Coturnix japonica: one gene and its partner. The protein of the gene in region 1 binds, or shares a complex with, the protein of each later gene. Links are inferred from orthologs where the notes say so. Each region holds a gene or a part of one and is shown on either strand. Other genes may lie near its edges.

Region 1 (4,358 bases):
ATCCCTTGCAACCAACCCAGTGAGGTTCCTCCTGGCTTTTTTTCCCCCCTTTCTCCCAATGCCTCTTTCTTCCCTTAGCAAAGGCAGGGAGGGATTCGCTTCTTCCCCCACTGCCTGTTACAGAGCTGACATGGGACCCCCACCCAGAGAGCTGCAACCAGGGATGGGGGCTGCTCCCATGGCTCTGTATGTGGCTGCGGTGCTGCTTGTCCCTCAATGGGGGGGATGATATGAGGATGGATGGGGCAGCTTTGCCCACCTTCCTGTGCCCTCTGCTCTGTCTCTTATGGGGCTGTGTCCCCCCAGCCCTCATAGGCTGTGGGCAGGGGGGGTCTTTCTAACCCCAAGCTGGGGGCTGCAGCTCCATCTAAGCCATGTATTGGGAGGGGGGGGGAGGCAATGTCAGGCTGGGAGGGAGAGAGAGAGAGAAAGAGAGAGAGGTTTATTTTGTATATGACTGATTTTTAACGAATGCAATATGATTAATCCTTGCAGACGAGCAATAAATCATTAAAAGTCTAATGAAAAAAAAAACAAAAAACCAAAAAAAAACGAGTAGGAGCATAAAACGACCAACATGGCAGGTCGGTGGGTGAGTGCTTACAGCCTATGGGGGCACATAGGGGGGTGGGGGTCCTCCAAGCCCCCCCCCCAGCCCCTCCAAGGCCTGTAGTTGGGGTTGGATCCTCATTCACTGTAATGGGGGCTTTGGGCCCATATGGGTTATGTGGGCCCCATAGATCTGACCTGATTAGTTATAACCCATATGGGTTATATGGCCCCCTGTGGGTTATGTGGGCCCATGTGGGTTATATGGGCCCCTGTGTGTTATGTGGGCCCCTGTGGGTTATGTGGACCCATATGGATTATATGGCCCCTATGGGTTATGTGGGCTCATATGAGTTATATGGGCCCCTATGGATTATGTGGGCCCATGTGGGTTATGGGTTATATGGGCCCCTATGGGTTATGTGGGCCCCTATGGATTATATGGCCCCCTATGGGTTATGTGGGCCCATGTGGGTTATATGGCCCCCTGTGGGTTATGTGGGCCCCTATGGGTTATATGGGCCCCTGTGGGTTATATGGGCCCCTCTGGTGGGATCTGCTCCCCCTATTTGGGCTCTGAGCTGGTTCCGGGGTCACATCAGGTCATTCCGGACCCCCCTTTGGTCCCCATCCCCCCCCCACTTCCTGCCACTTCCAACATGGCGGCCCCCAGCCGTCGCGTCACGTGATGGCCGGAAGTGCCTCTCCCAACATGGCGCGCGCCACACCTATCATGGCGGCGATGGGGCGGAGCTTCTCCTCCGGTCGAGGCGCCGCACCGGACGTGGCCACCGGGGGCGGGCGGCGCTGGGCGGTGCCGCGGCCTGAGCGTCTGAACGGCGGGACCGGCGGGAGGTGTCATGGCGGAGGCAGGAGAACGGCCGGAGCTCGGCGCCACTCCCAACATGGCGGCGGCGGCTCTACCCCGGCTCTCCCTGCCGCTCCCGCGAGAAGGAGGGGTGAGTCCTCGCGAGATCTCGCTGTGTGGAGCCATGGAGCCGGGCGGCGTTGTGGCGGGGCCGCTCCCGGCCAACAACAAGGCCCGAAGCGGGGCGGGACCGGCGGGGAAAGGCCGAGAGTTGGGCCGACCCCCGAGGAAGGACTCCGAGGTCAGAACCGGAACCGACAGAACCGGGCCCGGCTCCGCGGGGCGGGAGAAGGCCGGACGGGAGGGGCGGGGCCTAAGCCGGGCCGGTTCCGGGAGGGGCGGGGCCTGGTCCGGCCGGTTCCGGTGCCGTGGGCCCGGCCTGGTTCCGTCCCGATCCCACTGCGGCCCTGTATGGAGTGAACAGCTCCAGGGGGCGGAACCTGCGGCCCAATGCGGCAGCACGGCCGGGGGGTGGATTGGAAACGTTGGTGCTGCTGTGGGGCTGCAGGAATGAGGGGGGTGTTGGGGTTCGTTTGGGTCCGTTTGGGTCCGTTTGGGTCCGTTTGGGTCCGTTTGGGTCCGTTTGGGTCCGTTTGTGTCACTGAGCCCCTCATTGAGCCCCGTTCTTTGCCCCCAGGGCTACTCGGAGTCCCCAGACCTGGAGTTTGAATACGCAGACACCGATAAATGGGCGGCGGAGCTGTCCGGTAAGGGGCCCGTCCTCACAGCTCAATGAATCAGCATTGGGTTCTATGCCCTGATCGTGACCGAAGCGGTTCTGTCCCCTCCAGCGTCGCTTTGTTGCCTTTAAACACCTCATTCACATTAGAAGGGCTGTGTCACTTCATAGCAGCTGTTCCTTTGCCATTAACATTGAGCAGCCATTAACCCGTGGGTCGCAGGGTGACGGTTCTCTGTGCTCTTTGGCAGAGCTGTACAGTTACACCGAAGGCCCCGAGTTCCTGCTCAACCGCAAATGCTTCGAGGAGGATTTCAGGATCCACGGTGAGAGCCCCCCCTTGGAGCTGGGGGCACCAATAGGGCTGGGTGTATCAGGTTGTGAAGTCAAGCAGCCCTTCAGCCCCATCCCATATACATCAATGCTTTGGCTTTGCAGTGCGGGACAAGAAATGGACGGAGCTGGACAAGAAGCAGCATCGCACCCACGCCATGAGGCTGCTGGATGGGCTGGAGGTCACAGCCAGGGAGAAGAGGCTGAAGGTGGCCAGAGCAATCCTGTATGTTGCACAAGGTACGTGCTGGCGTTGAGCTGGAGGCCTTTGCTTTGTATTTCATCTCATACAAGTGGAGCTGAAGCAGTTGTCAGAGGAAGGAGAGTGGTCTAAACTGCCCCTGCAAGAGGGCAGCTCTGTCCTTTGCTTTTCACCTCCTGCTTTAGCATTAAAGATGTGACGTTCTGTCCATCTGCAAAGCACATTGGCTGCACAGAAGGGCTTTGCATCCACTCAGGGTGTCGTTACAGGCACGTTTGGGGAGTGCAGCTCCGAGGCTGATGTCCAGGCCTGGATGAGGTACAACATCTTCCTGCTGCTGGAAGTGGGGACCTTCAACGCGCTGGTGGAGCTGCTGAACATGGAGATCGAGTGAGTGGTGGGAGCAGCTGCTCCAGGAGCCGCTATGGGGCTCTGCTATGGGCTGAGATGCTCCAGGAGCCGCTATGGGGCTCTGCTATGGGCTGAGATGTTTCCCAAAAGGTGGCAAAAAAAAAAAAAAAAGCCGCTTGGGGCTTCTGCTATGGGCTGAAGATCTCCAGGAGCTGCTATGGGGCTCTGCTATGGGCTGAGATGCCTCCAGGAGCTGCTGTGGGGCTCTGCTATGGGCTGAGATGCTCCAGGAGCCGCTATGGGGCTCTGCTATGGGCTGAGATGCTTCAGGAGCCGCTATGGGGCTCTGCTATGGGCTGAGATGCTCCAGGAGCCGCTATGGGGCTCTGCTATGGGCTGAGATGCTCCAGGAGCTGCTATGGGGCTCTGCTATGTGCTGAGATTCCTCCAGCTGGTGGCAGCTGTGTTGTTCCCTGCCCTGTTTCTGTTCTATTCCTGTTCTGATTCCTACTCGAATGGCTGGCATTGCTGCGTGTGGATGTGTAGACACACAGGATGCACGCAGCAGATCTCTAACAGCCGTGCTGTCTGGCAACAGCTGCGTTCCCCCTCTGCTTGATGGGGGACTTGTTGCATTAGTGCTCACTCCAGGCTTTGATTCTGACACTTGGATTGCTTATAGTAGAGTTAAATGCCTCAGGAGCAGCACTGAAGCTGTTCTCTCCCTGCAGTAACAGTGCAGCGTGCAGCAGTGCAGTGAGGAAACCTGCCATCTCCCTGGCTGACAGCACAGACCTGAGGTATGGAGCTCTGCACGAGGAGCTGCTGTGTTGGCTTTATACCCCAGTATAAGAGCCCCAGCTCCCTGTTATGGAGAGTGAATGGGTGGAGGTGGGCTGTGGTTATGGCAGACCAAACCTTCCCTAAGAGCATTGCAATGTAGCTCATCCCAGCCTCTGGTTTTCAGCCCAATCTTGTGTTCTGGGCAGGGTGCTGCTGAACATCATGTATCTGATCGTGGAGACGGTCCGGCAGGAGGCTGAGGGGGATAAGGCTGAATGGAAGAGCATGAGACAGACCTTCCGAGCAGAGCTGGGTGAGGAGCCCACGCTTGTACAGGAGGGTTGGATGGAGGTTCCAAGGGCTGATGGGGAAGTGGGGGAGGTGGGTGTTGATTCTGGGCCTCAGGGTTGGTCTCTGCTATTGCTGAACCTTGGAGCAGGTGAGGGCAGGGAGCAGAGGAGCTGCATGGGGTGAGATGGGGAGCTCAGAGGTGGGGGTGGGAGGCACAGCAGGGTGAGCAGAGCCTGACTGTGCTGCTGGTTGGTTCCAGGAGCCCCTCTGTACAACAACGAGCCTTTCTCTGTCATGCTCTT
Region 2 (4,079 bases), on another chromosome or scaffold:
TGTTCTATACATTCACAACATACAACTGATGCAAACTGGGCCTTTCAAAGTAAGTGGAAAAAAAAAACCCACATATTCAGGAAATTGTTTGCACAGGCATGAATTGTGTGGTATAACATCTGGTTTTGTCAAGGACATGAGACAGGTTCAACAGAATGCAACCACTACACAAACACATCATTCTGGAACTATTCATAAGGGCAGCAGATAATACTACCTCTGGGTCTTCCATTGTTGTCATACTACTCACAGGCAGAGTTCGAGTTGACCAAAACAACTCTATGGGACCTGCAGTATTTTCAGCTATAAAACATTTAAGAGATCTTAAAACAGCCAGAAGAGCTTGTGTAATGCTTCGGTGATAAACTGGTAATGTCTTTTTAGAGCCTGATTTGTTTGTTTGGGATGGAAATCATAGGATTACAGTAAAACTGAAGGATTCATACCTGAAACACATTCTCTGGCAGATTCTGTTTCAATCTGTTATATTTGGTGAAAACACTTCCCTCAACACAGGCTGCAAACAAGGAGCGTGACATGACATGCACTTGTGCACGGTGCTAGTTTTAATACAGCTATTAGATCTCCCTCCTTCACAGGCAAACCTGTTCATTCCTTCTTTAGTAGCCATGAGTTATTTTAACACTGAGCTGATGCAGGGATGCTTTCGTAATCACTTGGATGATCTTGAATGAACAGTTCAAATAGGTATTAAAAGGAGGGGGGAAAAAGCAAGGTTTAGACTATCAACCTTTGCAAGAGAGATTTTTGTTTGCTTTCTTAAGCTGTATTACAATCCCTCTTAAGGAACAGCGAGGTGAGTAATTTTGCACCAAATCCAATTCCTTTGTATTACAAGATTGTCTGGACTTGTGTAATAGTCTTCATCAAAAGAAGCTATTTCTTAATTCTTTACAGCTGCACATATCTAATAGTTAAAAAAGCAGAGAGAGTTTTAAACATATGTCTATACCTTCAGAGATCTGGGTTAAACTAACAGCACTAAAGGAACTATTACATAAACGTTATTGGTTTAACAACAGAAAACAGGACCTCAAATAATTTCCAAGGTCCTTTGGTGGTGACAAGGCAGCCATGGAAAATAGGTCAGCAATGGATCAAGGAGGTATGACAATAAGGAGCTCATAAGTTTGCACCTTGAAAAAGGAAGTCTTCCAAATATGAAAACATTAACAGAAGATGGAGGATAGAAAGTGTGGCTTATGTCATCTTATACCAACAATTGCACGATCAAATTTTACTGATTTCAGAAGGTCGTTAAGTTACTAGAAGTGAAAAAGGTAAACCAAACCTCAGCATTGCATCCAAGGCAGAATAGTATAGGAGTGGTCTTTATACATCGCTTCTACACTCTAAAAAACATGGAAGATAACCAACCAGGAGAAATTTCAACCTTCTGATCTGAAACCTGAACTCCAAGCTGTGTATCTCACTTTGATGTATCATAAAGACTTCTCTGTTATTGGAAATGAGGAAAGGAAAAGCAACCCCCCAGTCCCTCAGCTATGGGGCAGGTGAGCCAACCCCAAAAGCTGAGAGAAAGGCCAAAAATGCTGACAGAGCTGCCAGCCTGACAGGTAGAAAACAGCGCTGAAATGAGCTCAGCTCCTCTTTGTTTGATAAAGATCTGCACCCAAACTCACAAGGGGCTGTCCAGCAGAATAAGAAGGAAGAGTCACAGCTATCCCAGCCTCCCTCTGAAAAATCACTTACATATCGCTTGTTTGTTTGTTTAAACAAGTTTCACAAACGCTCGAAGGACACCGGGCCTCGCTCCCAGCCAAGGAGAGGTGGCATTTTCTGACAGATGATGGCTCCCAGCGGCACGCAGCACAAACATCGGACCTCCACTCGCACCCTTCCCTGAGCGCCAGGCCCTCATTACAGGCAGAGCAGCAGGGCTCAGTGCTACAGGCCCAAGCGCCGGCGGTGGGCAGCCCCACGGGGCCGATATGTCACTTGCAGCGCACTCCCCGATTCACTTCGTTTGGCCTTTCACCAATTTCAGAAGCTCTTCCACGCTCCGTGTCGCGGCCCATCCCGAACAAAGCGGAGAAGGGCTCTCAGCCCCGTGCGGGCCGCAGGTACGCGGCACCGCGGCTCCTCCCCGGGCCCGCCGCTACCTCAGCGCAGCCCCTCCCGCAACGCGACGGCTCGGGCCCGCTCTCCCCCGATACCGAGCGAGGCCTCCCCGCTTGCAGGCCGCCCCGCTCCGCCCGCCCGCACTCCCCACGACCCAACGGCGGCCTCCGCGCGGCGCCGCTTCCGGAGCCGGAGCGTTGCCCGCCGCCTCCATTTTGGGACCGGAGCGGCTCGGAGCTCACCTGCATGCCGGGCACTTGCACCGCCACGGGCGAGTGGGCCATGGCCGGGCTACGGCGGCCGGGCGCCGCCCGCTGCTCCCTCCTCTCGGCCTCCCTGCTGCTGGGCGGCGGCGGGGCCTGGAAGGACAAAGCGGCGGGGAGCGGCTTCAGCGCGGGCCGCGCTCCCTCCTTCCCTCGTTCCCTCCCCGCGCGGCCCCGCCCGCCGCCGACTCACCTCGCTGGGGCCGCGGGGCCGAGCTGCGCGACGCGGGCGGGAAGGGCTCCCCTAAGGCCGCTGTGCCATGCCCGCCGGGCTCCCCGCGGCGGCCCTGCCCATGCCCCCCTGCCCGCTCCCGAAGCGGGGACGGCGGCTGCTCGGTGCCCTCCGGGTGACGGCTCTGTGCACGGCTGGGGCTGGGCTCACAGCGCCATGTCGGGCCCCGGGCGGCAGCAGGAGGAGGAGGAGGAGGCTGCTGTGCGGCGGCGGCTTCTTCCGTCTCAGCTCCGGCCTCGTGGGGCGGAGCCGCCGCCGCCGCACGGGGCTCGGCGTCACTGCCCCCGCCTACGGGCTGGGCGGGGAGGAGCGGCCGGGTGGCGATGGGGCTGTGAGCGCGGTGTTGTTCGGCAGGGGATGCTCGCCCTGCCGTGGGCCCTGCGGCGCTGTCACGGCGCTGTGTCCCCCCCAGGCGCCTTGTGGCAATGCTTGTCCCCTGCAGGCCCCGTCCTACCGAGCGCAGTGCCCACAAACATGGTCACAGTGCGCGTACATCGCTGTCCCCTGTGCGAATAATCCGGCGGACGTTTATGGTCTTTTCTTGGCTTTTTATTTTGCCTCTCCTCACCTTCTCCTTCCACTGTGGGTCAGGAGAAAATGACATTGTTTTAGGGCGACGTTTTTCCCATTCGTATGTGAGTCACCTCTCCGTGTTGCATGATTCACGTTCCTATGCATTGAAGTTTTGCCAGTTACTCAAGTGAAGCTAAAAATGATATCTTTTATGACGCCTGTCTTCCCCTTCTGAGCAGGCGCACAGGAATCATGAGCGGTGGTCACACTCATATTCAGATACAAATATCCTTGAGGACTTTGCTCAAATTCACAGCTCCATGGGCCTGAAAGCCAAGCAATGGGAAGGTCAGTAGAGATAGCAGGCTGTTGTCCGTACCCCGTCCAGAGGGTGGTTCCCTTCGGAAAGGGTGTGATCAAAGGAGGTCTCTCTCCATTACAACATGGAGAAATGCTGTACTGTGGCAAGGAGCACAAAACACCTCTGTTTAAGGTAAGGCTGTGCTAGCGCCAGGAATTTCAACGTTCAGCAGCCTTTCCAACCTTAACTCCCTGTGGTTTGAACCAGAAAACAACTCGCAGTGATGTTAGCTAAGGACAGACTTGTGGCTCATGCTGGTATTACTTTATTTTCTGACTTGCCACTTTGTTCAGCCTTCACCGTTATTAAAGTATTACAACCCCTCTGTGCTCTTCAAAAAACACATAGCTGTAAAAGGCTTCTGAGTGAAGTTATATACACCCAGGTTAACTGAGAGGACATCAGGAGATAGGTTTAATGACTGGAGTATTTTGTTTTCTCAAAGTTTGTACTGTGCACTTCAATTTAGAAAGATTTTGATTAACGAATGTTTGGGACCAAAAGAGGATTTCTACTGATCTCTACTGCTTATTAAATTGTGTACAGCGGATCAGTAAATAAATGAATAACTATCGACTCCTAACAACTCTGAATCCTGCCTGATTAT

What was found. Proteins that work in one complex are often made in the same cells at the same time.
Region 2: STRIP1 (region 1) and STK26 share a complex: the UniProt entries of both Homo sapiens proteins name them as parts of the core of STRIPAK complex. The link is inferred for Coturnix japonica from reciprocal best matches to the Homo sapiens genes STRIP1 and STK26.

The regions. Positions count from the first base shown.
Region 1 is NC_029541.1:1,697,987-1,702,344, forward strand, and holds the start of STRIP1 (striatin-interacting protein 1), read left to right. Parts: upstream 1-1,514; 5' UTR 1,515-1,541; coding exon 1,542-1,658; intron 1,659-2,054; coding exon 2,055-2,124; intron 2,125-2,347; coding exon 2,348-2,422; intron 2,423-2,534; coding exon 2,535-2,669; intron 2,670-2,900; coding exon 2,901-3,021; intron 3,022-3,713; coding exon 3,714-3,782; intron 3,783-3,971; coding exon 3,972-4,078; intron 4,079-4,315; coding exon 4,316-4,358. UniProt on the Homo sapiens protein: Plays a role in the regulation of cell morphology and cytoskeletal organization. Required in the cortical actin filament dynamics and cell shape. Part of the striatin-interacting phosphatase and kinase (STRIPAK) complexes.
Region 2 is NC_029519.1:3,339,413-3,343,491, reverse strand, and holds the start of STK26 (serine/threonine-protein kinase 26), read right to left. Parts: upstream 2,840-4,079; 5' UTR 2,560-2,839; intron 2,506-2,559; exon of another isoform or gene 2,463-2,505; 5' UTR 2,388-2,462; coding exon 2,346-2,387; intron 1-2,345. UniProt on the Homo sapiens protein: Serine/threonine-protein kinase that acts as a mediator of cell growth. Modulates apoptosis. In association with STK24 negatively regulates Golgi reorientation in polarized cell migration upon RHO activation.